Linked DNA regions of Sus scrofa. The protein of the gene in region 2 interacts with the protein of the main gene of each other region in a biochemical or structural test. Links are inferred from orthologs where the notes say so. Each region holds a gene or a part of one and is shown on either strand. Other genes may lie near its edges.

What was found.
Region 1: the proteins of SLC9A3R2 (region 2) and PODXL form a complex in vitro, tested with the Homo sapiens proteins (3 studies listed by BioGRID and IntAct, with this or other methods). The link is inferred for Sus scrofa from reciprocal best matches to the Homo sapiens genes NHERF2 and PODXL.
Region 3: the proteins of SLC9A3R2 (region 2) and ABCC4 form a complex in vitro, tested with the Homo sapiens proteins (2 studies listed by BioGRID and IntAct, with this or other methods). The link is inferred for Sus scrofa from reciprocal best matches to the Homo sapiens genes NHERF2 and ABCC4.
Region 4: the proteins of SLC9A3R2 (region 2) and SLC9A3 form a complex in vitro, tested with the Homo sapiens proteins (2 studies listed by BioGRID and IntAct, with this or other methods). The link is inferred for Sus scrofa from reciprocal best matches to the Homo sapiens genes NHERF2 and SLC9A3.
Region 5: the proteins of SLC9A3R2 (region 2) and RPS6KA1 interact in a test that uses a peptide from one of them, tested with the Homo sapiens proteins (2 studies listed by BioGRID and IntAct). The link is inferred for Sus scrofa from reciprocal best matches to the Homo sapiens genes NHERF2 and RPS6KA1.
Region 6: the proteins of SLC9A3R2 (region 2) and TBC1D10A form a complex in vitro, tested with the Homo sapiens proteins (2 studies listed by IntAct, with this or other methods). The link is inferred for Sus scrofa from reciprocal best matches to the Homo sapiens genes NHERF2 and TBC1D10A.
Region 7: the proteins of SLC9A3R2 (region 2) and SLC26A3 form a complex in vitro, tested with the Homo sapiens proteins (2 studies listed by BioGRID and IntAct, with this or other methods). The link is inferred for Sus scrofa from reciprocal best matches to the Homo sapiens genes NHERF2 and SLC26A3.

Annotation. Positions count from the first base shown.
Region 1 is NC_010460.4:17,489,126-17,492,354, forward strand, and holds part of PODXL (podocalyxin), read left to right. Parts: intron 1-1,209; coding exon 1,210-1,407; 3' UTR 1,408-3,229. UniProt on the Homo sapiens protein: Involved in the regulation of both adhesion and cell morphology and cancer progression. Functions as an anti-adhesive molecule that maintains an open filtration pathway between neighboring foot processes in the podocyte by charge repulsion.
Region 2 is NC_010445.4:39,949,684-39,954,137, reverse strand, and holds the start of SLC9A3R2 (Na(+)/H(+) exchange regulatory cofactor NHE-RF2), read left to right. Parts: upstream 1-1,313; 5' UTR 1,314-1,446; coding exon 1,447-1,659; intron 1,660-2,796; exon of another isoform or gene 2,797-2,980; coding exon of another isoform or gene 2,981-2,998; intron 2,999-3,928; coding exon 3,929-4,129; intron 4,130-4,454.
Region 3 is NC_010453.5:64,306,896-64,311,381, reverse strand, and holds the start of ABCC4 (multidrug resistance-associated protein 4), read left to right. Parts: upstream 1-1,550; 5' UTR 1,551-2,109; coding exon 2,110-2,183; intron 2,184-4,486. UniProt on the Homo sapiens protein: ATP-dependent transporter of the ATP-binding cassette (ABC) family that actively extrudes physiological compounds and xenobiotics from cells.
Region 4 is NC_010458.4:79,623,899-79,628,405, forward strand, and holds the start of SLC9A3 (sodium/hydrogen exchanger 3), read left to right. Parts: upstream 1-1,656; 5' UTR 1,657-1,711; coding exon 1,712-1,928; intron 1,929-4,507. UniProt on the Homo sapiens protein: Plasma membrane Na(+)/H(+) antiporter. Exchanges intracellular H(+) ions for extracellular Na(+) in 1:1 stoichiometry, playing a key role in salt and fluid absorption and pH homeostasis.
Region 5 is NC_010448.4:83,933,925-83,937,819, forward strand, and holds part of RPS6KA1 (ribosomal protein S6 kinase alpha-1), read left to right. Parts: intron 1-35; coding exon 36-161; intron 162-380; coding exon 381-470; intron 471-1,019; coding exon 1,020-1,178; intron 1,179-3,895. UniProt on the Homo sapiens protein: Serine/threonine-protein kinase that acts downstream of ERK (MAPK1/ERK2 and MAPK3/ERK1) signaling and mediates mitogenic and stress-induced activation of the transcription factors CREB1, ETV1/ER81 and NR4A1/NUR77, regulates translation through RPS6 and EIF4B phosphorylation, and mediates cellular proliferation, survival, and differentiation by modulating mTOR signaling and repressing pro-apoptotic function of BAD and DAPK1.
Region 6 is NC_010456.5:47,298,539-47,302,976, reverse strand, and holds the start of TBC1D10A (TBC1 domain family member 10A), read left to right. Parts: upstream 1-1,436; 5' UTR 1,437-1,524; coding exon 1,525-1,733; intron 1,734-4,438.
Region 7 is NC_010451.4:107,508,419-107,512,313, forward strand, and holds part of SLC26A3 (chloride anion exchanger), read right to left. Parts: intron 2,287-3,895; 5' UTR 2,203-2,286; coding exon 2,072-2,202; intron 1,583-2,071; coding exon 1,443-1,582; intron 239-1,442; coding exon 128-238; intron 1-127. UniProt on the Homo sapiens protein: Mediates chloride-bicarbonate exchange with a chloride bicarbonate stoichiometry of 2:1 in the intestinal epithelia. Plays a role in the chloride and bicarbonate homeostasis during sperm epididymal maturation and capacitation.

The DNA.
Region 1 (3,229 bases), on a different chromosome or scaffold from region 2:
CCTCGTAGGAATGGAAACTTGCCTGGAATGTTGGAGGCAGCGTGGTGGAGGGGAAGAACGTGGACCAGGGAGTCAAGAAGACTTGGCCTAAGCCCGGGCTCTGCCTCCTGTCATCTGGGTGACCTTGAGCACGTCGTACGACCTCTGAGCCTCAGATTTCTCATCTGCTTAGTGGGGCCAGTATCTACCCTGCAGAGTTGCTCTGAGGCACCGCTGATAGAAATGAGCCTAGGCGTAGCTGTCTAACCAAGCGTTGTTCCCTCCACCTTCTAGAATTCCTCCATGGCAGTTCCATACAGGCCCATGGTTCTCAACCCAGGCTGCACACTGTGGGGAGCTTAAAAAAATATCCCCATGCTTAACTTCCTCACACATCAGTTGAAAAGAATCTCTGGGAGTTCCCACTGTGGCGCAGCAGACATGAATCTGACTAGGAACCATGAGGTTGCGGGTTCGATCCCTGGTCTCGCTCTGTGGGTTGGGCATCTGGCTTTGTTTTGAGCTATGGTGTGGGTCGCAGATACGGCTCGGATCTGGCTTTGCCGTGGCTGTGGTGTAGGCAGGCAGCTATAGCTCCAATTGGACCCCTAGGCTGGGAACCTCTATGCTGTGGGTGTGGCCCTAAAAACCAAAAAAAAAAAAAAAAAAAAGAAAAAGAATTTCTGGATCAGTAGATTTGTGAAAAGCTTCCCCAGGGACGGCCCCGTTCACCCCGGGCTGTATCTTGGGTAAAGACAGAGAGAAAGCGTTCTCCCCGGGGTTCTGGAGATGGCTGCAGGTGCTCCTCTCCCCACCTCGCTCAGCCTTTGAGAGGTCCTGATCAACATCACCTCCTTCCAATTTGTCCCAGCTCAGCACTGGGGGTGAGGACGAGTTTGGGGGGAGGAATGGAGGGACGGGATTGGAGGAGGGGAAGAACGTGGACCAGGGAGTCAAGAAGAACAAAAGCTCATCTCCATGGACTTGATGGATTTGCCACCAGGGCAAAGGGAGGTGAGCTAGGAATTTGAGGATGCTGGGCAAGTTCTTAGCTCAAAGAGCCCCAAGGCAGGCCAGTAGTCAGGATGGCCTCCAGGAGCACCTGTTGCTCACATTAGTCAAATGGAGGTTCCTAAATTCGGGGGGTACAGGTGTAAGGTGGAGACGATAGTCAGGCTACCAGCCCTCAAGAGTGACTCTCTTTTTCTTGGGTCATCTCCTTCGCCCCAGCAACGGCTAACAGAAGAGCTACAGACAGTGGAGAACGGTTACCATGACAACCCAACACTGGAAGTGATGGAGACCTCATCAGAGATGCAGGAGAAGAAGGTGGCCAACCTCAATGGGGAGCTGGGGGACAGCTGGATCGTCCCTCTGGACAACCTGACCAAGGATGACCTGGAGGAGGAGGAAGACACACACCTCTAATCAGGTCTGCCGGCGGCCTCCGACAGCGCACAGGGCTCCAGCTGAACCACCTCAAGTGCCGTTTGGACAAGGGAGGAAAATCCTTCCCCTTGGAGGGAAAGACTGGGGAGGGAGGGCGGGCGGACTCGCAGGCCTCCCCATCCCCATAGGCCTTAATTTTTCCCTTTTCAAGCTGAACAATTCACCTTCTGTGTAGAACCTTCTTGTAAAATAACCCACTAGTGCCTGAGTTCAGTGCCGCTGGGAGGTCAGGCAAGAGCCGTATGAGGGACTTTGGAGACCCCCTGGTAGAATTCCTTCATTTCACAGACAGGCGACCGAGGCCCAAAGAGGGTAAAGTCGAGGTCACCCAGCCCCTGGGTGACAGCGTCAGGATGAGAACAGAGCTTCCTCCCTTCAGCCCGGTGCCCGTTCCCAGCACACTGCGCTGCTGTGGCGACCCAACGCCCACCCTCCAGAGCTGATGGGCTGGAGGGGAGAGCAGGGCAGGCTCGTCTCGGTGGCATCTGATTACTTCAAAGCCTAGGCCCCGTCGTCTGTCTCCTGTCAGCACCCGCCAGTGTGTCCCGTCGTCTGTCTCCTGTCACCCCCCGCCAGTGTGCCGTCCTCTTTGTTGTCCCCGCTCCCTTGACTCAGTTTTAATTCCCACGCCGTCCCAGGGCCCCTGGCACTAACACAGGTCACTCGTGACCTTGCTGTCCTTGCTCTGGAGTCTCATTTCCTGGCATTTCTTCAGAGATTGGGACCAAACGCACACAGGACTCAGTGTGGACAAGTGTGCCCAGGCACCCACCTACAGGGGGACCCCTTCCTCCCAGGATGGGTCCCCTGGCCACCCCCCGAGGCGCTCCTTGAGGCCTCCTCTTCCCACCGGGCACCAAAAGCAGCAGCAGCTACCGAAGGCAAGGTGTTCCTATTTCGTTGTCACTGCTTGGCCCCTGCGATGGGGTGGGGGCTCCAGCTCGCAGCCTCTGAGATCCAGCAGCTTAAGGACAGAGCTTCATGGGGCCCCGGCAGCTGAGATGTGTCTGAAATAGACAATCGATTGAAACAGCAGGAAGGACAGGCTTTACTTACTCTGTTTCTTTGGAAACTTAGGGGCTTGGCAAGCTGCTGAGAGTTTTGTTTTCTTTTTTCGTTGATCTTTGAATCTGGCTCTCCACCTCCCAAGGCCAAAGCTCAAATCACTGGGACCTTTTCAGTTAGATTCCAGGCTTCTGTGCACAGGCAAGAAAGGCCTAGAACGCCAGGTGCCCTTCAAGGTGCACGAGGGGCAGCCCCAGCCCGGCTTTCTGTTCCCGGCCACCTCTCTCTGTCCGGGTGCAGAGCTGGGCCTGGCTGGGTCCCCTTCTCTGTGTTCCTAGCAAGGCTGGCTGCCAGTGCTTCCGCAGGTTCTGGGGGCATCTCAGGGAAACGTAATGCCGACTGCTGCCCAGGGGAGGGGCTTGAGGAAGCGCAGTGGGCTGAGGACTGGGCAGAGGGAGGCTTCCTTGGGTTTTTTTGAGAAGAGGGTCCTGCATGGAATTCTGTTTTGCCCATGCTCTCTATTGTCCCTGGGGATAAAGTCCCTGCAGCCAACCAGGAAGATAGGCACAACTGCTTAGGAGAATGAAAGTGGTCCCTTCAGGGCAAAGAAGCTGGACCCCCTGTACGTAGAGGCAGGGCCAGGCTGCAGCAGTTCTGATAAAATAGGCTATCTGCTTTAAGATAGGTTCTTTTTTTCTTTTTTTTTTGGCCACACCCTTGGCATGTGGAAGTTCCTGGGTCAGGGATCGAACCTGTGCCACAGCAGTGACAACACCAGATCCTTAACCCACTGAGC
Region 2 (4,454 bases):
GGTCACACACCCAGGCCCAGGCTCTGCCTCTGCCCCATGGCTGAGGGCATTGCCACAAGGAGGTCGGTTCAAAGGTCAGAGGAAACCCCCTCAGGTGAAACTGGAGCTCAGGACAACGCCACCCCAGGTGGACCCAGGGGAGAGAGGGCCTGGAAGGTCTGACATACCTCCGCTCTCTCTGGGCCAGGGCCAGCGGCCAGACCTCTGATCTCCTGCCACCTGACCGCCTTCCTGGCTGCTGCCGGCCTCACCACTCACCTCCCCTCGCTCATTCCCAGCCACCCAAAAGCTTCCAGCCCTGACACCTTGCATGCGTGCTCCCGGCTTTGCCACCTTGCCTTCTCCTCCCACACCCCTGCCCGTGGAGCTGAGGGAGGAGGCCTGGGAGGCTTTGCCCCGAGAGCTGCTGGGCCACCTTTCTTCAGCTCTGTTACTCAGGCCCTCTGTTTTCCGTCCCCCTCACTCCTTCTCTTCCCACTCTGGAACTGCCACCCGCAGGTCTCAGCTGGCCCCTGCTGTTACCCACTTCCTTGCTCCCCGCCCCCCTCGTTCCTTGGATGTTCTGTTACTCTAGACGGAGAGCCTCTCTCGGTACTCCTTCGGCTCCTTTGGTGCTTTCGGGCCTCCTTTGTTATTCTGGGGTGTGGTGTTCCTGGCCCCTGGCTGTGACCATGTCACTTAGTTACCCGCCTTACAGCGGTGTTCTGTTCCTGGCCACCGGCACTCACGGGCTGAGTGCTGGGCTGCAGGAGGCAGGTCTACAGAAGGGGACGAGGTCACTAAGCTTCCTGAGCCAAGCGGCCAGGGGTACCTGCCTTCCCTACCCCTTGGTCTGGGGGTCTCCGGACCACCTCCGGCCACCACCCTCTCAACTCTGGTGTGGCCTCAAAGCTGTAGCCTGGCAGGTCCTGGGTGGTTCTGGCTGCTATGGGGTGATCCCTGAGCCCCATCTGGGGTGGTATGTGGCGGCTTCCACTCCACACCCACCCCCACAACCTGCAGGGGTGGCAGTACTAGGTGGGGTGCAGGGGGGCCAGTCACAGGCCACGAAGGCAGCCTCTGGACAGACAGAGGGAGGCGGCTGGCCCCAAGGAGGCTGACCGAAGGGGGGCGAGACAGAGAAGGACTGGGGGGGGTCCCTGGCCCTGCGGCCCCTCCTGGGGCCTCGCGGCGCGGGCGGAGCGCCGAGGCAGGGGGATGGCCGGGGTGGCTTGGACCCGGGGCGGGGGCGGCAGGGCAGAGGGGGCGGGGAAAGGGCGGGCGCGGGGGCGGCGCCGCAGCCAGATCCGGAGCCGGAGCCGGAGCCGACGGGAACCGAGCGGGAGCCGCCGAGGCCGCCGCAGGGTCTCCCGCGCCGCTCCCGCGCCCGCCCCAGCGCCCCCGCCTGCCCGCGGCGGGCGTGAGCGCCGTGGCCAGCCCGCGGCCGGCCGGTGGGCAGCAGGCGCCATGGCTGCCCCGGAGCCGCTGCGGCCGCGCCTGTGCCTCCTGGTGCGCGGCGAGCACGGCTACGGCTTCCACCTGCACGGCGAGAAGGGCCGCCGCGGGCAGTTCATTCGGCGCGTGGAGCCGGGTTCCCCGGCCGAGGCGGCCGCGCTGCGCGCCGGGGACCGCCTGGTCGAGGTCAACGGCGTCAACGTGGAGGGCGAGACGCACCACCAGGTGGGTGCCTGCGCCCCGCCGCCCCCCATCCCCGGAGCGCGTCCCTGCCCCGCGCGCGCGCGGACGGCGCCAGGGACCACCGGGCCGCCTGCGCCCGCGCCTCGGCTCCCCCGCCGGGGCCAGGAGGGGTCGCACAAGGGCCTACGTGGGCTCCCGGGGACAGGCGGGGGACGTGGCCACCGAGGCAGCGCCTCCTTCCTGGCCTCCCCCCGCCCCCGTCGGTTCCGCACCGCGGAGGTGGGGGGGATCCTGGCAGGGAGGGGCCCGCAATGCGGCGGCTCCTCCGGTTCTGGCCCTGGCTCTTGAGTCTTGTCCGGCCTCCGTACAGTCTGTGCAGGAGTTGGTGCCTCGGGGGTCTCCGTGTGCCTGGGGTCCCCGGCGCTTCTCTGTCAGTGGGGACACACGCGCGCGTGCACTATGGGTATGCGTGTGAATGTGCAGGTCCCTCTGGGGATCACCCTTGTGTGTACCGTGCGGGGTGTCGCGGTGAGGGCACACTTGTGTGTGTCTGCATCAGTTAAGTGTGTGTGTGTGTGTGTGCTGGACTGTGTGCACGTGAGTATACAGGTCTGCACTGCTTAGATGTGTGTGTGTGTGGTGGGGTGCCTGACCTGGGTTGTGTGTATCTGTCTTGGCCCGGGTGTCTGCCTGCTGGTGTACTAGTGTGTGTCCTGACGGTTGGTGTCTGGGTCCTGGTGGGCGTCGCTGCTGGTGGCAGCACATTCCTGTCCTAAGAAGCTGCTGGGCAGCCTGGTGGGGGGTGGGGGTGTGTGTGGGGGGCGTCACTGGCTGTACCCCCCGGCCTCCTGCAGCTGAGGGGAAAGGCCAGAGGGGGAGGTTCTCCTCAGGTTCTGATCCCTGGGGGGTGTCTGCCGCCCACTGACCTGGGATCACCTGGCTTGGGTCCTGTCCTCCTCCACCCCTTCTGCTCAGGATCCCCGCGTCCCCCAGCACCTGTCTATGTGGCCGGCCCTGGGGCCTGGAGATGTGTAAATTGGCTCTTGGCTGGGCTGGGAGCCGAACCGCTTCTCTTCTGGAGCTTTTGTCTGCCCATCTGTCTGCCGGCCTGTTCTTTACCCCGAGTGTTGGCAGGATGAGGCTCTTTGCTGCCGGGGGTGTGGGGGTCGGGGCCGAGGTCTGGGATTGACAGGCCAGGGGGCGGGCCCCGCGCAGCTGGCGCCTGGCCTCTGTTTGACATCAGCTGCCGTCTTCTCCAAGAGCGAGGCTCACCCCAGGCCTCCCTGGGTGTGGTCTCCAAGGACTTCACACGCGGGACCACGGGGAGACCTTCCCACTGCCCTGGGGGAGAGGAGGTACCATCATGGCTCCCGTTCTGCAGGCGAGCAAACCGACAGTTGCAGATACTGGGTGACTCACCTGGGTCCCACTGTCAGGCAGCATCGGGCTGCTGGGGTCCTGTGACGCTGAGGGTCACAGGGGGAGAGAGATACAGAGGGGGCCGGGGCAAAGGTGGGCCTGGCTCGGACCCTTTGCTCTGTTGCCATCTACTGAGAGGCTGGTGCGGGCCCTGTCTGTCGTCCGGGCCTTGGGGTGGGCGTGGGGGTGTTGCTCTTCCTACCCAGTGCCCAGTGGGCACTGCTTCTCCTGCGGGCACACACAGGCATGAAGGCTCCATGGCCGTGCACATGTTCTAGATGCTTCCCAGACACCTGCGTGAGCACGCCTGGCCCACAGGTGGACCTGCTCCTCCCTAGCTCTGCCTGCCGCGTCTGAGTCCCGCTTCCTGGGTTGCGTGCGGGCGCCTGAGGAGGTGTTTTGCCACAAGCACCTAGGTGTTCCCTCTGCAGGTCCAGCAGGAAGAGGCCCATGATCACGGTCTGAAAGAGAATGGAAGGCTTAGACGCAGGTTCTTCCACCGGGGGAGGCAGCCAGGCACAGACACACCGAGCCTGGGACCCAGGGAGACCCTTCCCCCCGCCCCCCCCCCGCAAACCCAGACGTGCAGACGGGGAAGCCGAGGCTTAGCCGAGCCCCGCGATTGTCCCTTCCCGGCCCCTCCCCAGAGAAGAGCCTGCGCCCAGGCGAGGCCCCCGCAGCCCCTGCAGCCCTTGGAGCCCGGCCCGCTTCGGCAGCCCCGGGAGAGGAGGGCGGGAGCCGCCGGAGCTGGGGGTGGGGGGAGGAGCTGCGGGCCTTGCGGTCCAGCCGCCCACCTGGCCCGGGAGGCTCAAGGCCTGCCCCCGGGGTGCTGCTATCCATGTGCTGCCTGGGGTGCTGGCCGTGACCGGCTCCCGCCTCCTGCCCGTCGCAGGTGGTGCAGCGGATCAAGGCTGTGGAGGGCCAGACGCGGCTGCTCGTTGTGGACAAGGAGACGGACGAGGAGCTCCGCAGGCGCCAGCTGACTTGCACCGAGGAGATGGCCCAGCGAGGGCTGCCGCCTGCCCTTGACCCCTGGGAGCCGAAGGCGGACTGGGCGCCCGCAGGCAGCCTCAGCGGTGAGGCCGGCCAGAAGGTACGGCGCCTCTGCCCACAGGGATCACCTGGCCTCTCCCAGGACCGCCTTCTCGGCGCCTCTGGTCGTCTCCACCAGTGTGCGTCTCTGGACCCCTCCTGGACCCCTGGTGGCCACTCTCTCGGCCACTTGGAGCCACTCTTTCTGTCCTCGGCCTGTGTTCTAAACCGCATGGGCTCTGGGCAGCCTGGACCTGGTCCCTGGCCCCCAGGAGGCTCGTCATCGGAGCCCCTTGTCCTTGGAAGGGTCCCTTTGACCAGCCGCCCCCTCCCCGGCCTTGGGGCTGAGGAACCTGGGGAGGGGCTGCTGGCGTGTGCTCAGCTCT
Region 3 (4,486 bases), on a different chromosome or scaffold from region 2:
GTAATGAACCCAACTAGTATCCATGAAGATGCAGGTTCAATCCCTGGCCTCGCTCAGTGGGTTAAAGATTCAGTGTTGCCAGAAGCTGTGACTGATGACTCAACTTAGATCCCATGTTGCTGTGGCTGCAGCATATGCTGGTAGCTGCAGCTCCGATTTGACCTCTAGCCCAGGAACTTCCATGTGCCATGGTGCAGCCCTAAAAAAAAAAAAAAAAGCCATTATTATTATTATTTTATTATTTTTCCAGTGGTGAAAAAATTTTTTTATTTTTTTATTTTTTATTTTTTTTATTTTCCCACTGTACAGCAAGGGGGTCAGGTTATCCTTACATGTATACATTGCAATTACAGTTTTTCCCCCACCCTTTCTTCTGTTGCAACATAAGTATCTAGACATAGTTCTCGATGAAAAAAGCCATTATTAATAACACTATTTTAAGAGTTTCCACATGTCTCTGTGGGTTAAGGATCCTGACAACGTCAGTGCTGTGGATCAGGTCACTGTTACGGTGCAGGTTCGGTCCCCAACTGGAAATTTCTACATGCTACCGGGTACAGCAAAAAAAGTAATAACAGTATTTTAGTCAAGGTACATTGAAATACTCAAAAAGAATAAAAAAGATGTTATCATTGTAAACACAAAGAACTTTGAGCTTTCTTCATTTAGAGTGGAAGGGAAGAGAAGATACCCAAGATTTGGTTCATTCAGACCTGCAGTCATTCATTCATCCAAACAGCATATTCTAGGCACTTTTCATGCACACTGTCCACCTACCGGTTGAGACCATGCTGGACTTTCACTTGGTCCAAATCAGAATTCATTATTTACTGATTTTATTTTATTTTATGTTATTTTTATTTGGCCAGCCCGAAGCATATGGAGTTCCTGGGCCAGGGGTCAGATCTGAGCTGCAGCTGGGTGGCCAGATCCATTAACCCACTGTGCCAGGGGAGGGATGAACCCTGTGTCCACATGCCACAGAGACATCTCCCATACCCTTGTGCCACAGCAGGAACTCCTGTTTATTGATTTTCAAGCCTTGGACAAGTTCTGTCCTTGAGCCTTATCTTTCTCATCTGTAAAACAGGGATAGTAATACCTTCTTTATTAGGGCATCGTTAGAGTGAAAAGTGCAGTCAGGTCCCCAGAAGTGCCTATAACCGGTGTTTTATAAAATGTACCACTGTTACTCCACTAGGTTTTGAGCACATGATGAAAGAAATCATAAGGCAGTCTCTCGCCATATTCCCCTTTCCCAATCTAAAAGGGCAGCAAAAAGCTTACAGAGGTCCCCCCCGCACCATGCAGTAATGTGAGATCTCAAAAGCCCTTTGGAAGCGTGCATTCGTCTTCCAAAATTTTTTGAGTTCTTCTAATTCTCTGTTACATATCTTTAGGTCTTGCAGCGTTACAAACACATCTGTGCTAAATCCAGCCGTTGTCCCAGGTCAAATGTTTAGCCGCAGGATGGAGAACCTCCCATAGCACCCTAGTTTGGTCGTGAGGAGGGCAGGGTGCCCAGAGGGCGGACTGCTAATGCCTACAGCCGGCCTTCTCTGGGTCTTCGGAAAGCTGCAGCCGAGGGGGCGTTTCTGAACTGCAGGGGCGGGCAAATACCACGCCTCTCCCTCTCCACCTCTTCTGGGTGGGTGCCTGGGCTGGGAGCAAGAACTGAGGCTGAGCTTGCAGCCAGGTGCGAGCACGTGGGTGTCTCGGCTCGGAGACAGACTGTGTCGCGTGGTAGGTCTACCCGCTTCCATCCAACGGCACCTTCGGCCTCGCCTCGCCCCTTCACCAAGCTGCGGACGGCGGCAGCCGAGTCACCCCTTTGTCTCGCCGCTCGCACGCGTCCGCTGCACCCGGCTCCCGGCAGATCCTGCAGCGGCGCGTAGCTGGCGGCCCCGAGGCGGACCCGGGAGGCGGCGCGGCCTGGGAGGCGGGCCGCAGGCGTTCCACTCCCGGAAGCGAGTGATTCTTGGGCTCCTGCAGGCGGACCCCCGGGCCAGCCAGAGGTCCAGCATCTCCGCCAACCCTTCCGGGAGCAGCGTGAGCGGCACCGCCGCGGGAGCTGTGCGACCCCGGCCCGCACCCGTCTTGGCCGTCAGGATGCTGCCGGTGTACCCGGAGGTGAAGCCCAACCCGCTTCGGGACGCGAACGTCTGCTCGCGCGTGTTGTTCTGGTGAGCGCCCCGCCTGAGCTGTGACACCGCCGCCGCCGCGCCGGCGCCTTTCGGGAACAGAGGGTTGGGGCGAGCAAGAGCTTCCCGCCGGTGCCCAGGCCGCCCGGCTTCCCGCCGACAATGGGGCGGCCCCACGCGGGTCGCGTGGTCCCCACCTGAGCCTGGGCGCGCGGGGGCGGAGGAGCAGGGCGGGGGAGGAGGCCCTGGTGGCGGGGCCGCCGGGTGTCCCTGCCTTTCCTCTCGCTGTTTCGCCAGCCCGTAGGAGGAGGAGCAGGGGGAGCAGCTGGAGCAGGAGGGGGAGAGGCGGAGAACCTGGGCTGCCCAGTGGGAATCTACACCCAGCAGGAGAACGCGCTGCGCCCCCTCTCCACTCCCTACTCTGTGTAGCCGGCTTCCCCAGTATTGCTAAGGAGTTCGAAGTTCTGAGCTAAAGCTGCACCCTTTCCCCCCTAAGCAAGCATCTTATGAACAGCTTCCTTTATCTATTTAGTGCCCTGGACCAGTTGCCGTCTTCCAATGTCCCCACCTTTTTCTGTATTCTTAGATGACAGCTGCGTACCAAACTGCACTGAGCTCCCTCTGTCTGTGTTTTTGTGACTGTGTCTCGCTCCCTCCCTCTCCGTGTGCGTCTCTCACTATCTTGGTACCTAGTTGTGGCAAATTACATGTGGGTGAAAAAACTACACTATTTTTTAATTACTGGGGCACACTGCTCTTGGGCACGTTTTGCTTTGGCCCCGGAGGCACAGCCAGCACTGGAGAATGAACTTGGCTAGCCTCTTTCCTATTGCAAATATTTCTACTTCCCCTTTTGAGGACCACTCTGGGGATGGGGTCCCTGAGGCCTGTGGGGTCTTATCCAGGTCTCTAGCCTTCAGAGAAGCAGTGCATGGTCTGACAGTGCTGATGGTCCGGCCCAGGAATCATTTGGTCCTAAATCCACTGAAGCGTCCTGAGCTGGGAGCAAACCCTGATGAAAAACAGCTTACAGAGGTGAAGTTCTTTTCCTTTTTTTTAGGGTCGCACCTGCGGCACATGGAGGTTCCCAGGCTAGGGGTCCAGTAGAAGCTGTAGCCTCAGGCCTATGCCAGAGCCACAGCAATTCGGGATCTGAGCTGTTTCTTCGACCTACACCACAGCTCACCGCAATGCCAGATCCGTAACCCACTGAGCAAGGCCAGGGATTGAACCAGCAACCTCTTGGATGTTAATCGCTGAGCCGCTACTGAACTCTGGTGAAGCTTTAACTAAAAGTTTTTATCTAGTAGCTAGGACTACTTAACTAGGTGGGCCTGAACCTTTGGCCTTTAATCACACTTGGGTCATTATGAGATCTTTTGTTTCTGGCCCCTAATCCATACTCTGATAATTTCCTTTTTAATGGGCCGGCCTAGCAGAGGGTCCCCAAGGGTTGGAAGCTTGTTTTGCTGGAGGTGTATTCAGTGTGTGTAGCTACATCTCTTGGCCATTTGGTGGCCCTTGAGTAAAGTAGAGCCTAGGCTTATGGGTGTGGTTACTGTAACTTCTGGCAGGGCAAGGAATTCTCAGAGCATCTTCTGTTTGTGGATTTTCAAAATGTATGTGTCTGTAAATGGGATAGGTGAGGACTTGTCTGATTTTGTTAGGCACCTGTGTCCAGTTTTCCTACTGCAGCAGCAGGAGCAATTTTTTTTTTAAGGGCCGCATTCTCAGCCTATGGAGGTTCCCAGACTAGGGGGCTGACTTGCAGCTGCAGCTGCCAGCCTACACCGCAGCCACAGCAACATGGGATCCAAGCTGTGTCAGCGACCTACATACACCACAGCCACAGCAACCCCAGATCCGAGCCGCATCTGCGACCTACACCACAGCTCCTGGCCATGCTAGATCCTTAACCCACTGAGCAAGGCCAGGGATCAAGCCCAGGTCCTCATGGATACTAGTCGGTTTCGCTACCACTGAGCTGCAACAGGAACTCCCCAAGGATTTATTTCTGTTAGCCAAGTACATTTGATGCTATTTTGGTTGTTTTTCAGTCTTTTCCCTAGAAATCTTTATGCACTCTTCTGCTCACACATCGTTTCTATAAAACTAAATAGTTTTGAATCTTGAATCCTTAATTTTTTATGGTTAGTGTTTATTTATGTTTAAAACCGGGTATTTAATGGTAATTTATGCAATCTTTCATTTTTAACACTGTTTATTTCTAATTATGATATGATCCATATCCACGACTGTGTATTTTACTATATCTTCCCCCTTTTTTTTATATTCCCAAAAGTAAGATAATTGGAACTGGTGAAATGCCAAATGGTGTTCCAGCT
Region 4 (4,507 bases), on a different chromosome or scaffold from region 2:
CCGTCCCGGGTCTGGGAGGGGGTGCGGCTCCCCAGCCGTCCCGGGGGCCGGGAGGGGGTGCAGCGCTCACGTCTGTCGTTAGGTCTTTACCCGCCTGAGCATTTGGAAAAGTTCCCCCAGACACCGTCAATTCCAACACATCGGACTTCGTTGCTGTCGCTCTTAAGATTTTAGCTCCTTTGCATTTTATTTTATTTATTTATTTATTTTTGTCTTTTGTCTTTTTGTTGTTGTTGTTGCTATTTCTTGGGCCGCTCCCACGGCATATGGAGGTTCCCAGGCTAGGGGTCGAATTGGAGCTGTAGCCACCGGCCTACGCCAGAGCCACAGCAACGCGGGATCCGAGCCGCATCTGCGACCTACACCACAGCTCATGGCAACACCGGATCGTTAACCCACTGAGCAAGGGCAGGGACCGAACCCGCAACCTCATGGTTCCTCGTCGGATTCGTTAACCACTGCGCCACGACGGGAACTCCTGCATTTTATTTTTTAACTTGGCTCCTTTTGTTTTCTTTCTCGTTTCTTCTTTTTAAAGTTCCGCGGACGTCTGGTCGGTTGACAAGCTTGTGACCATTTCTGCTGCACAGCAAAGGGATCCCGGTTCACATCCTCTTCTCTCTCAGGTTCTTTTCCCGCGTAGACGGTCCCAGAACACTGGGTAGACTTCTCGGTGCTGGACGGCAGGTGGGCCAGTCGTTCCGTAGACGCCAGTGGGCATGCGCCAGTCCCAAAGCCCCACCCGTCCCCCCATCCGCCCCCTTTGTTCACTTTCCTGACAGTAACTGAGCCCCATTGTCCTAACCCACTGAGGTACTTGATCCAAGCCCTTCAGGGAACCAATCCCCTCGCACCCCCAATCCCCTCGCAGCCCCCATGGCAGCCTCTTCATCACACCTGGCTCCGACGCCCCTCACCCACTCGGGTCCCAACACCACGTGCCAGACCTTCGAGCCCCGCCCCGCATCTGCCAGGCGTGCCCAGGCCTGACCGTGCGGCACATTCTGCCCCCCACCGCCTCTGGTCGGGGCCCTCACCTGTGGGCACAGGTGAGCGGGGGGGAAGAGTGGGTGGTTTCAGCTGCGAGGAGGCTGAGGAGCCTGAGCCTAACTTGGAGGGAAGGGCTTGGCAGGAGCACAGGACACCCCCCATGCCCTCCAGGGGCCCTAAGGGGTGGGGGGGCTTTGTGAGATGCAAGCCTGGCCACAGACCGGGGTGGGAGCCACAGTGTCACGGGCCTGAAGCCCTTCTGCACGTTCCCATCCCTGGGCAGAGCCCCCAAGCAGAGACTGGAACACCTGATTAAGCACCAATTAAACCCCGTTCCTTCATGGCTTCTATTTTGTGTGACAGGAGAACTAATCTCCTGAGGGGCGGGCCGGCCCCTTATCTCAAGGCTCAGGGAGGTAGGCAACCTCCCTGCCAAGGCTTTGAATGCCCGTGGGAAGAGAGCCAGCCCCTGGGAACAGCCCGCTGGCCAGAAAGAGGACCAGAGGGTGCCCGGAGCTTATCTGGAGACGACCGGCCATCAGGGCTGCACGGGGCAGGGCTGGGCTTGTGGTCACCAAAGGGGCGTGGGAGCCAGCTCAGCTTTAGGACGAGTTGGCCGGAAGGAAGTGAGTAGCTCCCTGCGTAGACAAGGAGGATCTGGCTGCAGAAACCCCAGGGGACACTCGGCACCTGGCGAGGAGCACAGCGCCTCCCGTCCAGCATGCGGGCGCAGGGCTCTGGCCTGTGCGCCTTGGTGCTGCTGGCCTGGCTGGCGGGCACCGTGTACCCCTGGGCACTTGCCAGCTGGGACCCGGGTCTGGCACCCATGACCCCCCGGAACAGCAGCGGGGTCCCGGGGGCCAGCTTGCCGTGGCTGTCCGTGCGGGTCCCCTTCCTCCTCACGCTGTGGACACTCGTGGCCCTGTCAGCCCTCCTGGGTAAGCGCCTGCGTCGCGTTGGGTCCCCTCTGGTCCAGAGTGTATGGCTGGTTCTGGTTCTGGTTCATGACTCCTCGTGCCCAGTGGTCCATGTGTCAGCTCTCTTCTGGAACAACAGGCGGACCCCAAGGTCACTCAGCCCCCTCCCCGCCTGAGACTGCACCTGCCTGAGGCCTAAGGCAGGGGGGATGGGGGGAGCTGAGCTGGGGACCCGAGGCGCCTTTGGGGTCACCTGGGCTCAGGTAAGTGAGGGGGGGCCTTTGGGGGCCCCTGAGGGCACATAGCCCATCTGAGCACACGGCTCTGTCCCGGCTGCGGCAGAGCCCCGGCAGTGGCGGGGCCCCCGTGTCGGCTCAGCACCCGGGGAGGGGGCTGCTCCCTCGCGAGCCGGCAGCTCCTGGCCCGTCCTGGTTGGGCTCACCACTTTCTTTATTCCAAGTATGAAAAGAGGAATGTCACTGCCCTCAAGTTCTCCCAGAAGTAAACTGGCAGGGTCTGAACGGGTGAGGATTTATCCCTACAAAGCAGGTAGCCTCTTGGTAAAATTGCACAGAACAGGGCGTTCAGCTCTGAGGACGGGCGAGCTCTGGGGCTATGGTGTCAAATTAAACGAAGAACTGACCACCCAGCACGATCAGTTAAGACAAGAAAGACCATCGTGTCCTTTATGTTCCATTATGTCCGGCTCCCTGACCTCGTTGTCGAGAGTCGATGCGGCCAGGATACCCCCTGGGGTGCCGCTGTCTACGTGGGGTGTCATCCAGGAGCGAGGCTGGCGAGGACCCCTCCCAGCCCGCGGGCCGCTGGTCGCCTCGTGCCCTTCCTGTGGGTGGAACCTCTGCCCTCGGGCAGCCTTGTCCCAGAGCGCGGAGGCCACTGGGGAAGAGAAGGAGAAGCCCTGTGCTGGCTGAAGACACCCCTGCGCAGTGCCAGTGTCCCCAGCCAGGCACAGTGCACCTGCGCCCCTGTGCTGCTGCGGCAGAGGAAGCCGCACCCTGGGTTCCCAGTGGGAGCCTGGGAGGGCTGCACTTTGCTGAATGTCCCCTGAGGCCGGCAGGGGACTGAGCAGCCCGGGTCTCAGCCGTGGGCAGGGGCTGGAGCCACGTCTCTCCGTGGTGGGAAATGGGGTGTGCAGAAATGGGGCCAGAGCCTGGAGCAGGGTGTCCACGAGGTGCTGCCATGTCTGGGCTGGGTGGCAGGTGTCCAGCAGTGGCTGTAGCTGCCCAGATGGGAGCAGGAGTGGACCGGACAGAGGAGGGCTGACCACTGGCCCATAGCTCAGGAGGAAACTGCTGGCCAGCGTGATGGACGCTCGGGCAACCGTGAACGCAGACGAGCCTGTGCTGGGCGGGCGGCCCGGCTGGGTCCCTGGGCTGGGCTGAGGCGGGAGTGGGTCACCCAGGGTGCAGCCTGCCCCTTCCTCCTGAGCAAGGAGGAGAGGCTTGGGGGCAGCAGCCCTGTCTTGGGGGGGCGAGGACCAGAGTTGGGGGTTCTGGTAGAAGGTTTGTCTTGCAAGGAAGCAGGACACACAGCTCGTCTGTGTGTTGACAGGGCCCTGCTGTGGGGGCAGCTGGGCGGGGTGCTGGGGACGGGCGGGCGCGGGGGTGCCAGCAGGTCCTGGAGCGGCAGGGAGAGTGCAGGCCCCGGGCAGCGGCCTATGGCCCGGAGGCCCTGCCGGTGGGTGTCGGGAGCAGGAAGCGTGCCATCGGGCTTGGACCAGGGGGCGGGGCGGGGAGGGCCAGTGTAGGCTGAGGCCTGGGCACTGAGGGCCAGGTGTGGGCAGAGGCTGGGGCTCCTGGGGGCGGGGGCTGGTGGGCCTCCGTGTGGCTCCACACGGGTAAACGCCAGCAGGGCTTAAACGGCAAGAATAACATGCATCCGGGAGCGAAAATCCTCGGGAAATGAGGGGAAACGACCTGGGAAGGGTGATGACCTCAGATGACCTGGGTTTTTGGCAAAGGGGGCCCAGAGTCAGGGGAAAAATTTGCGGGTGGTGAGCAGGGCCTTGCAGGCCCCCGGTGGGGCCAGGAGGAGAGTCCGGGAGGCAGGCTTCTTGTGATGGGCACAGAGGGGGGTTGTCCGGAGGAGTCCAGGCAGGAGGAGGTGGGGCTCGGCTGCGGGAGCGGGACATGCGGCCTCTCCATCCCCAGGAGCTGGAGGGGGGGTGCAGGCCAGCCCAGGCCAGCCCTCCCCCGCCCCTGGTGATGGGGTAGAAGGTGGGGGGACAGTCGGGAAATCCTCCAGTTCGCAGGCTCACCTGGGAGGCTTCAGACGCTGCAGGACCGGAGCGTCGCGTGTCTGTGTGGGAGCACGACTCTTTGGACGACAGGCTCAGAAAGGCTCACACGGATGCCCTCTCGCTTGTGTGACGTGTCACCTCCAGGCCACGGTGGGGAGGCCCTGCCTCAGCCAAAGGCAGCTGCCACTGCAGCCTTGCGCTTGGTCTGGGGGACACAGTGGCATCTGCCCCGGGGGACGGGCTCATCTAGATGGGGCCACCCCTGCCGCACAGGTGCAAGGATTCTGCTGAGAACTTGCACAGCCGTGGGTAGGAAGCGCCTGACGGGGGTCCCACCCAC
Region 5 (3,895 bases), on a different chromosome or scaffold from region 2:
TTATTCCCCCTCTCCCCCGGCCCGGTCTCCTGCAGCAACTACACGGGAAGAACCTGGTTTTTAGTGATGGCTACGTGGTAAAAGAGACCATTGGTGTAGGCTCCTACTCCGAGTGCAAGCGCTGCGTCCACAAGGCCACCAACATGGAGTATGCTGTCAAGGTGGGCCTCTTGAACACATCCCGGCCAGGGCTGCTCGCTGGGGTGGAGGTGGGGGCAGTGTCGCCCTGGCCCTGTGGTGGGGGAGGGTTGGCATGGAAGGCTCTGGATGGGCGAAAGGTATGCGGCTGAGACTCCATTCTCTGCAGCCAGGGCTCTGAGGCAGGCAGGGGCTCTGGGGTCTGTCCCCCGACACTGCCACATGCACCCCCCTTTCCTCAGGTCATTGACAAGAGCAAGCGAGATCCCTCGGAAGAGATTGAGATTCTTCTGCGGTACGGACAGCACCCCAACATCATCACCTTGAAAGATGTGAGTGGGGGTCCTTGAGAGTGGGGTGAGGATGGGGCACTTGACTCTAGGACTGGCCTCGGGGCCGCTGTTCCTTTGATTTCTGATCCTCCTCCTCTGCTCACGGACAATGCCAGATCCTTAACCCGCTAAGCCACCAGGGAACTCCTCCCTATGGCTTATTACAGGATAGTGAATATAGTTCCCCGTGCTGTCCAGTAGGACCTTGTTGTTTATGAACTGGGTCCATAATAACTAACATTTGGAGACAGTTATGAGCCGAATAACAATGGCATGTCCATGTCTGACATGCCACGGGTAACAAGGTCCCTTCGTGCCCCTGAGCCCTCCACCTGGACCCAGGCATTCTCTGAGAGCCCTCCTACCTGTCAGGGGCCCAGTGCCAGCATCCTGTCCAGGGAGGACGGGGCTCAGATGGAGAAAGACCCTGCCAGGGTGACTGAGACACAGAGTGGAACAATGCCCAAGGCTTCCTGGCCTGGTGAGCTGGTGACCAAAGGGCCCAGTCCTGGCATCGCAGGAGGGGCCTGATGATGAGGTCTCTGACAGGTGTACGATGATGGCAAACACGTGTACCTGGTGACAGAGCTTATGCGGGGAGGAGAGCTGTTGGACAAGATCCTGCGGCAGAAATTCTTCTCGGAGCGTGAGGCCAGCTTCGTCCTGCACACCATCAGCAAGACCGTGGAATATCTGCACTCCCAGGGAGTAAGTCTTAGGCAGGGGCACCGCATGGGCGTGGGGGGCTGCCAGGGGTCATACCACCAGCAGAGTGCAGGAACCGTGGCTGGCCCAGCCAGTGGCAGTTTTCAACCAGCCAGACAGAGGGAAGCCTGGGGATGGGTGAGTGGGTGAGAGGGTGGATGGAAGGAAGGGAGGGAAGGGAGGAGAGATGAGGCCGGATTACAGAAAGAAACATTTATTCAGGTCCTAGGCAAGCATCATGCTTAGTTCTTTCCTTAATTGATTTTTACCTGTTAGGTAGGTACTGTATATTGGTCTCACTTTTTAGGTAAAAAGGCTGTGGCTCAGAGATGTGAGTTCATTTGCCCAAGGTCACACAGCCTGGGAAGAGTGGAGCCAGGATGTCTGACTGAGGAATTTGGGTGGGAGGCTACAGATAGGGAGTGGGTTTTTTTGGTTGGTTTTTTTTTTGGTCTTTTTCTGGCCTCACCCATGGCATATGGAGGTTCCCAGGCTAGGGGTCTAATTGGAGCTGTAGCCGCCGGCCTACACCACAGCCACAGCAGTGCCAGATCCAAGCCGCATCTGTGACCTCCACCACAGCTCACGGCAACGCCACATCCTTAACCCACTGAGTGAGGCCAGGGATCGAACTCCCAACCTCATGGTTCCTAGTTGGATTCATTTCTGCTGTACCACGACGGGAACTCCAGGAGTGGGCTTTTGAGTTAGGAAGCACCGAGGTCACTGTAGGAGCTGCCAGGCATCAGGAAGGTAAATCTGGCCATGGGTTTGGCTGTTAGGACAGAGGAGGCGATGCTCCTGGAAAGACAGCAGGTGCTAGGAAGTTGTAGGTCCAAACTGCAGGGCTTGGCTGTTATCATTGTACAAGGTGGAATTAGGAAAGGTCTTTGTAGGGTATTGAAGCCGAAAACAGAGTCTGCATGAGCTTCTCCATGGATGAGATAATATTTTAATGTGGGGGTTAAGGATGCAGGCTCTGGAATCAGACTGGCTGTGACAAGTCCTGTGTGTGAGGTTGAAAAGCCTCTTACCCGAGCCATTTCCTCATCTGCAAACTCACTATAAGGAGAGCTGCCCCCTCCCAGGGTGGCTGAGGGATGAGCCACGATCCAGCCCAGGCCCCTGGGAAAAGGCCAAGTAAACACAGGGGGAAATAGAACCAGATCATTCCTATACCTTTTCTTTTCCCCCTCTTTTTAGGGCTGCACCTGCGGCACATGGAAGTTCCCAGGCTAGGGGTCAAATCAGAGCTGCAGCTGCTGGCCTACACCACAGCCATAGCCACACCGGATCCGAGCCACATCGAACCTTGCATCCTCGTGGACATTAGTTAGGTTCTTAACCCGCTGAGCCATGATGGGAACTCTGCCTTGTTTTTTTTTTTTTTAGCATTATCTTATTAGTATGGAAACTTTCAAACAGGGAGTTCCCATTGTGGCTTAGCGGGTTAAGAACCCGACAGAATGTCTGTGAGGATGCAGTTCGATCCCCCGCCTTTCTCAGTGGGTTAAGGATCTGGCATTGCAGCTCAGATCCAGTGTTGCCATGGCTGTGGTGTAGGCTGGCAGCTGCAGCTTCAACTTGACCCCTAGCCCGGGAACTTCCACATGCTGCAGGTGCGGCCATGAAAAACAAACAAACAAACAAAAAAAAAACCTTTCAAACATATACAGAAACTACGGGAATAATAACCCTAACCCCCAGACACCAGATTGAAGAATTGTCCAGATTTTTATCTCCTCTCTGTCTCTCCCTCTTTTCTTCCTTCCTCTTTCCCTTTCCTTCTCTCTCTTTCCTCTGTTTCTTTTTTTTATTGTTGCCGAAATATTTTTTCCAACTTTTTGTTGAGAAAAAAGCTCAAACCTATAGAAAAGTCAAAGGAATAGTACAACGAAAAACATTTCCCTTCTGTTTGTTTATTTTTAGGGCTGCCCCTGTGGCATATAGGAGTAACCAGGCTAGGGGGCGAATCAGCCACGCCAACGTGGGATCCAAGCTGAGTCTGCGACCTGCGCCATAGTTCACAGCAATGCCGTGTCCTTAACCCACTGAGTGAGGCCAAGGTTCGAACCCACATCCTCATGGGTCCTAGTCGGGTTTGTTACCACTGAGCCATGACGGGAACCCCCGACATTTCCCTTTTGTATTCCCCAAATCTTAAGAGTCACCACATTTGCTTCATCTCTTTCTTTCTCTGTCTCTCTTTGTTTCTGTATACAAGTATATATGTTTATCTGTGGGTACATTTGAAAGACAGTTGCAGATATTATGCCACTTGACCCATAAAAACCTATAATTAAAGTATTTAAAAACGTATTTCAGCCTTCACATCATCTTAGTTGTATAACTCTCAAAAAAAGACAAACATTTCTTTTATAACTAACAAAGTTAGCAATTACTTGTTTTCACATAGTACCCAGTCAGTAGCACATTTCTCCTCTTTGTCCTTTCAAATATAATTTTTCTGGGCTTGGTGTATTGGAATCGCAGTCTCTGCAGTGTCCACATCTTTCATTCACTTGTTATATCCCTGAAGTCTCATAAAATCAAGGTAAGAGTTCCTCTTGTGACTCAGCCAGTTAGGAACCCAACTAGTATCCATGAGGACTAGTGTTTGATCCCTGGCCTGCTCAGTGGGTTAAGGAACTGGCGTTGTCACAAGCTGTGGTGTAGGTTGCAGACATGGCTCAGAACCACCATTGCTGTGGCTGTGGCAT
Region 6 (4,438 bases), on a different chromosome or scaffold from region 2:
TCATAGCATCACTATTCACAATCACTAAAAGTATAAACAAAGTGTCCATCCACAGATGAGTGGATTAAAAAAGTCCATACAATGGAATAGTTTTTGGCTTTGAAAAGGAATGAAGAATTGATACATACTACAACATGGATGACTCTTGAAAACATGTGGGGTGATAGAAGCCAGACACAAAGCCCACATACATATGATTTCATTTATATGAAATGTCCAGAAAAAAACAGAACTTTGGAGACAATTAGCAGTTGCCAGGGAGTGGGGGAGGAAGGATGGGGAGTGACTGACTGCTAATGGATAGGAATTGCTTTATGTCTAACCCATGGCATATGGAAGTTCCCAGGCTAGGGATTGAATTGGAGTTACAGCTGCCAGCATAGGTCACAGCAATGCAGAATTCGAGCCGTGTGTGCAGTCTTTACCACAGCTCACCTGTACTTAAGTGAGGAGCTATCATTATGACTCTGTGAGTTGATATCCCTTAACCCACTGAAGGAGGCCAGGGATAAAATCCTCATGGATCCTAGTTGAGTTTGTTAACTGGTGAGCCAAGACAGAAACCCCTGGATAGGAATTTCTTTTTGGGGTGATGAAAATGTTCTAAAGTTAGATTATGGTGATGGTTGCACAGCTTTATAAATATGCTTAAAACATTGAATTATACTCTTTAAACAGGTGATTTTTCTCAAGGCTGATGGAAAAATACAAATTACAAAAGATAGTAGGTAGAACTTGGGGCAGTGAGTGGCTCAATAGACAATGGTCATTATTCTTATTAACTAGGTCTCCCTATTTTTTTGTTTGTTTGTTTGTTTGTTTGTTTTTGGTCTGGCCGCGGCAAACAAAATTTCCTGGGCCAGGGATCGCTACAGCAGCGACAACGCCAGTTCCTTAACCCGCCAGATCCTTAATCAGGGAACTCCCAGTCTCCCTAACTTAAAGCCCCAGAAGCAGTTGGGGTGGGGGACTGCTGAACTTCAGCTCGGCCTAGGTTTTAAGTCGCTGAGAGTCGCTGGGAGAATCCCAGAACCACCGCGGGTCTCCTCGGAGCTTCTCGAATGGGTGAAGCAATCCTCACTCACGTCCCTGGGGTCTCGCGGGGGTGGGGGGTGCTTGGAAGGCAGATGCGGAATTCCCAACGGACGACTTCGGCCTCAGCTGGCACCGCGCTGCAGGTGACTGGCTGGGTCGCGGCTAACCCGGAAAGGCCAGAGGAGCTCTTTCAGGTGAGCTCTCGTGATTGGCAGCCCAGGGGGGAAGGGCTTCGGGAGACGGCTGCCCCGCCCCCTCACGTCGGGCCGGTTGGCGCCAGCCTGGGGGAGGTGGGCGGGCCCTGGGGGTCCACGGCGCCCATTGGGTGTGGAGGGGAGGGAACGCCGGGGAAGGCCTAGGGCCCCGCCCCCGGATTTGCTGCGACCAATGGGCGCGGCACGTGGGCGGGGCGTCGGCGGCAGTCGGGCGGCTGAGGCGGCTGAGGTGGCTGAGGTGGCCGCTGAAGCTGAGGCAGCGGGCGCGGCCGGGATGGCGAAGAGCAGCGGAGAAAACGGGCCGCGCGCTTCCGCAGCCAGGGGGAGCCTGTCGGGGACCCGAGAGAGCCTGGCCCCGGGCCCCGACGCCGCAACGGCCGATGAACTCAGCTCTCTCGGCTCGGACTCAGAGGCCAACGGCTTCGCTGAGCGCCGCATCGACAAGTTCGGCTTCATCGTGGGCTCGCAAGGCGCCGAGGGCGCGTGAGTATGGCTGGGGGCCGGGGCCCGGGGCCGGGGGCGGGCGCGGGACCTGAGAGGAGGGCCTCGACGCGGACCGAGCCGCTCTCAGGAAGGACCGACGTGTCTCAACCAGGAACCAGCGACCCTTATCTCCCTTGCCCCACCCCCACCTCCCCCCAGGCGGATTGACCCGCTTTCACCCTGGAGCCTACTTTGGAGCCTGGGACACGCAGGCCAACCTCACCTCTCCTGCTCGCACCTCCAGACAGACTGACCCGCCCCCAGGAAGGGCTCTCCTCACAACTGCGGACAGATTGACACCTGTCCCAACCCCATCACTACCACCCTCGCCTTAGGGTTGATTGACTTTGCCACCCTGGGCAGGCTCACAGGTGGCCGCCCTTCCCCCAACAGGCCGATGTTCTCCATGCCCCCCCGCCCCGCCCCCGACCCGCAGATGCCCTTGTTTTAGCAGCCCACTACCCTCATATCAGGGGTATACCTTAGGCAGACTTCAGAGGGACAGACTTCTCTGCCCACACTACATTCCAGGACAGACTGACCCTCACCTCAAGACACACAGACCTCTGAATAGACTGATATTTGTCAGTTCCCTCCTTCTTTGGGACAGACAGTCCCTTCCCCTCATGGAAGGGTCAGAGCAGAGCGTGTTCCCCTCTCCCCTCAGAGGCAGATTTCTCCCTGTCATTAGCAACAGGTGGGCAGACACTCCCCCTTTCCAGTACCCACAAGGTGATGGTACCTCATCTTCAGAATAGACTGTCTTTGTGGATGGTGTGGAAACATGCACCTCCTCTCCAAACACAGACTGGGGTTGGGGGGGCAGCAGCAGGAGACAGCAGGGTCCAGGCTCTTAGCACACCCAGATCCCCTGTACCCAGGCACCCAGCTGGCAGGCAGAGAAATGTGGGGCAGGGAAGCAGCACCTTCCCTTTAAGTGGGGTAAATTGAGCAGCCACATAGAACTCCTTGAGCCTAGTCCTCACAGAGATCATATGTATGGGTTGGTGATCCCTTTAGGAAGGATGGACTCTTGATCCCACTCCCATCCTCCTGTCCTGTCACATGAGACCAATGTTGTGCACAAAATTGACAAATCTCCCTTGCAATGGGCCTCCTCTTCAACAGAGAGCCCCATACAATCACTTGTGGGAGCCCACAGGACTCAGCCATGACCCTACTCCAGAGGGTCCTTCCTCCCCTTCTCTCACCATTTGTGACTGCCCAAGCTTCTCCAGCCTCTGTTATGACTTATGGAAGGGCCTTGATCATGTGTAAGATTTCAACCCCACACAAACAGTCCCATAAAGGTCACTTCTGGGATTTTTCCCTAGTCCAAATCCTCATATTCAGCAGGCCTCTTTCTCATTTGGAGAGGTAGAGAGAAATGCAGGCCTCTCCCCTCCTCTAAGGAGAGTTCTCTTTTACTCACTGGACTGTGTCCTCCAGCCTCTTTCCATTTACTCACAGCAAGCTAAGCCTTGTCCATTCCAGGACTCAGAGAGCACCCCTTATTCTGATCCCTCACCCTGACTCAAAGCTTTGTCACAGTTCCCTAGGGATTGGAATGAGAGAACCCAAAGGTGAATTGGAATATATTTTTGAAATGAGGAGCAGATACAAGGGCTCAGGGTCCTGGGAGGGATGAGGTCTAAAAAAGTGGGAAAGGAGTTCACAGTTGCATTTGTGGGTGCTTGGAGGGAAGAGCTCAGATTTGCTGGTGAATTCTGGGAGGTAAGAATTCCTACCATGCTTATCAGGCACTTAATCACATCTCAGGGTACAGAGCAGGGTGATATAGTGGAAAAAGGCCAAATTTAGCAAGAAGTCACACTTACTGGCTGTGTGACCATGGGTAAGATCCTGAATCTCTGAGCATGTTTACTCACTGTAAAGGGTAACAGTATCACCTACTCCCAAGATTACTGTGGGGATTAAATGAGATAAAGTATTCAAAGGTGCCTAGCACAGTACCTGGCTCAAGTAGTGGCCCAGAAAAAATGTTAGTTTCCTTTTCCTTCAAAAGATCTGGAAATTGAGGAGAAAGTGAGCATGTATCTCTGGTATTTGTAGAAAGAGAAAGGCCCCAGGGGAGGACCTCCCTTTGGCTGTAGTCCCCAACCAAGCAGCCAGACATCTGTCTTCCCCACCCTCCAACCACAAACCCAGGCTTTGCAGACACCCTCTGCATCCTTGGTGTCTATACTGCTGGGGCTGAGGTGGGATTCCAGGTCCCTTCCTCTCTCCCTGTCTCACTTTCTTGACTCTGTTGGCTAACCTAAAATCTCTGGTATCTGAAGGCCTGGGATGTTCCCTGTTTAGTTTATATTGTGGTTCAAAAAAAGTCAAAAGTAAGTCTCTGCCCAAGGCCATAAGAGGGGAAGTTATGAGAAGTTTCAGAGTGGTTGTGCTGAATCCAGTCTCGTGGTTGAGGGCTAGTGGGGCCCAAGTGCTGTCCCAGAAAAGTGAAACATTAGCACTGATGGCTGCAGCAGAGATGGTGGGGACTCTGGCTCCAGATTAAAGGTCCATTTTAGCCATTCTAGGCCAAAGGTTGTCTCAAGATGATAAGTTTTGGCAGTTGCCAGGAGCTGGGGGGATGGGAAAGAATGCAAATCAGAAGCTACCCCACTCAGTTGAGTGTTCGGTGCCTGGCCTGAGTAGGTCATAAAATCATAGACCCTTTAAGCTAAAAGGGATCTTAA
Region 7 (3,895 bases), on a different chromosome or scaffold from region 2:
AATTCTTACGTAAAACTATGACTCCTTTCTGGGATTCTGCACAATTTGGAATTGAAACAGCATGTGTCTAATGGCATGCAGAGAGAAAAAGCAATGCGAGTATTAATTAGCCTCATAATACACTTACCCACAGATATGTGTCTAGAAGTGCCCAAGAAAAAGTAGATTATGACTGGGAAAAAGGCTGCATACAACCCATAGCCTGGGGGGACGGTGACCAGCAGAGCAAACGCTAGACCTGTGAATATACAAGCATCAATGTCCTTATTTCATGCACAGACGTTTTCATTAGGTTCTTCAAGTATTTAAGATGGCACCTGAGCAATTATTAACTTCAATGTATCAAAAATGTAAATGTAAGAGCTAAAACTATAAAACTCTTGGGAGAAAACTTGGATGGAAACTTTTGTGACCTTGGATTAGGTAATAGTTTCTTAGAAGTGACACCTATAGTATAAGCAGCCAAATCAAAAACAGATGCATTGCGCTCCATCAAAATGTAAAAATGTGTGCTTCGAAGGATACTATTCAAAAAAAAAATTAAATAACCCACAGAGAGGGAGAAATTATTTGAAGATCATAGCTTGGATAAGGGTCTAGTATCCAGAATATATAAATAAATTTTGCAACTCAACAATGAGATACATAACCTAATTTTAAAATGTGCAAAAGATTTAAATAGACATTTCTCCAAAGATGTACAGATGGTCAGTAAGCACATGAAACAATGCTCAACAGCATTAGTCATTAGGGGGATGCAAATCAAAATCAACATGAGATGCCATTTCATACGCACTAGGATAACTAAAATAACAAAGGCAGACAATAACAAGCGTTCATGAGGACATGGAGAAATGCAAACCCTCACCATTGCTAATGGGTTATTATATGACAGCAATTATACGTCTAGGTATAAACCCAAGAGAACTGAAACATAGGTTCACACAAAAATGTGTGTACAAGTGTTCCTAACAGTATTATTCATAATAGCCACAGGGTGGAAAGAATCCAAAGGTCCATCAAGCAATGAATCGACAAACAAAATAGTCTATCTATTCCTTAGAATATTATTCAGTCACGAAAAGGAACGAAGTACCCATATGTTATGGATGACCCTTGCAAACATTCTGCTAAGTGAAAGAAACCAGACACAGTAGACCACATATGATTCTGTTTGCATAATATGCCCAGGATAGGCAAATCCATTGAGAAAGAAAGTTGTTACTAGGGGGAATGGATGGAGGGGTGAGGGGGCTGGGGTGGGAAGTGATTGCTAATGAGCAAGAGATTTGGGGGGTGGTTACAGTGAAAATATCTTGGAATTAGACAATGGTGATAGTTCCATAACCTTGTGACTATACCCCCAAACACTGAATTGTACACATCAAAAGGATGAATTTTTGATTCATGAATTACATCTCAAAAAAAAAAAAAAAAGTTACCTTGCAGCACAGCCACCATCCCTGTGCTGATTCCAGAAACAATATCACTGAGTAGCCATTCCTTTATGCGGTATGCTGGCAACCAAGATGCTATGGGGAACGAAGAAAGGGCAATTCTCTTGGCCTTTTGTGTGGAACAGCTGAAAACATTGAAAGCCACAAGTCAGTTAATTACTATCCAATTTTAAGTTCAGGGTCTAATTGTAGATGGAACATTGATAAAGCTAATCATAAATGATCATTTCACTAGCTTCCCAATACCATTCACCTCCTTACCCATAGCCGCTGCTCCCCAGCCATCACCAATGGTTTTTTTTTTTTTTTAAGAAAATTGTCCCTTCTCTTTAGCCGTAAGAGAACTTATTTGCCCTCCCCAGCTTGCACTGGACCACAGTTTGTTGGAGAATTCTCCTCTGTCCTCATCTGTCAGTCCTCTGAGGTGGAAGGATGGTGTGCATTGCAGACACTACCTTCCCAGCCCTGGCAGAGAGGGAGAGGTTTGGAAATCAAAGGTAAAAAGACTCTGGAGACTGTGGGCTACAGCTAGAAAGGAGAGCTTGGAAGCTTAAACAGTTCAGAAATGGTGCTTCCTTTACCCCTACTGCCCGTACCTTAAAAAAATGTCTTACCTGCAACACTGTTTGAGATGATCCAGAAAAGTCTTATGACGTCTCTGTTTCTTCTTATGCTCTTCCCCGAAAGCGTTTGCAGAATACACTGGCCTGGCCACCACATACTGATTCCCGATGGCTTCGATCATTTTGCTTTCTCTGACGGCTGTGGCGAGTGGAAGACCTTTGGAACTGTGTGGCAAACCCTTCTTGCCTTTAGCAGGTTAAAATGCCTGAAACCAAACAGAGCTTGCTTCTTAAATAACTCGGAGATAATGTGATGCAATTTACAGATGAGTGAGCTCTGCACTGAATGTTACCACCTTTTGAGATCAAAAGAGGCTGGATTAAGGGACCTAGATTGTGTTTTGTGACAGTGATATCGCTTTTTACCCCGATGCTCTGGACACAGCTCTGTTGGGTAAGTAAACAAGGGCTTTGATTTATTTTGAAAAGGCTGCCAAAAGCAATAGAAATTGACTCAGTTTACTAATGAGTGAATGAATGCATTTGTGACTTGTAAAGTGAGATCTCAAGAAAGGAAATTACTTAAGAAATTTTTTTCAGCAATGTTTCCTAAGTTATGGCATCGGAGTCCTGGGACAGATTAAAGTCTAGTCATTGTCCCTAACTCTAAGTGAGGCTGTTCCATTTTACCCATCAGAATTTCTATGACACCTTATAAAATGCTTTTAATTTGTCAGATTCAAGGATATTGCACATTTCTTATTGTTTCTGGGAATTAAATGGATTTTTTTTTCTCTTTCTTTCTTTCTTTTTTTGCCATAGCGTGCAGCAGCAATTTGATGGCGCATCTCAGTTCCCAGACTGACGATCAAGCCTGGACCAAAATGGTGAAAGTACTGGGTCCTATCCACTAGACCACCAGGGAGCTCCCAAATGGAATTTGATAATTTAAAGTTGAGAAAAGTGTAGCACAAAGTAAGTATCACTTTGTTACTTACTTCACTAGTGATGGGATTTTTTAAAGGAAATATATTGGGCAATTTACTTAACTTTTTTTTTTTTTTTTTTGTCTTATTGCCATTTCTTGGGCCGCTCCCGTGGCATATGGAGGTTCCCAGGCTAGGGGTGGAATTGGAGCTGTAGCCACCGGCCTATGCCAGAGCCACAGCAATGCGGGATCCGAGTCGTGTCTGCAACCTACACCACAGCTCACGGCAACACCGGATCGTTAACCCACTGAGCAAGGGCAGGGACCGAACCCTCAACCTCATGGTTCCTAGTCGGATTCGTTAACCACTGGGCCACGACGGGAACTCCTACTTAAACTTTTTAAGCTTCATCTATATGCCTATAAAAATAATACTCAGATTTCAAGGTGATTGTGAAAATTAAATGAGAATTTTTTTTCCCCCTTTACCTGTGGCACCTGTGTGGCATATGGAAGTTCCCAGGCCAGGGGTTGAATTAGTTGGCTGTGGCCTATGCCACAGCCACTGCAACACTGGATCAGAGGAGAACCTGTGCCCTTATCCAAGGGCAAGGTTTGGGATTGAACCTTCATCCTCACAGAAACAATGTCAGGTCCTTAACCCTCTGAGCCACAACAGGAACTCCCAAATGCAAATGTTTTCAAGGCATCTAGCATTGCTTCAAAGCGTCTTGCACACTATAGGCATTCAGTAAATGGTAGTTATTATTCTGACTATTTGCATTTTCTGTACAAGATGTTTACTTTTTTTGTTCTTATCTCAATCCTATTTTATTACAATTAAAAGATCAATTTTGCAAAACCTTTTACGCACATTACCTATTTAGCCCACACAATTCATACAGCGAGTACCGTGTCCAAAATGCAACATCTGCTTTGAGGCTTTG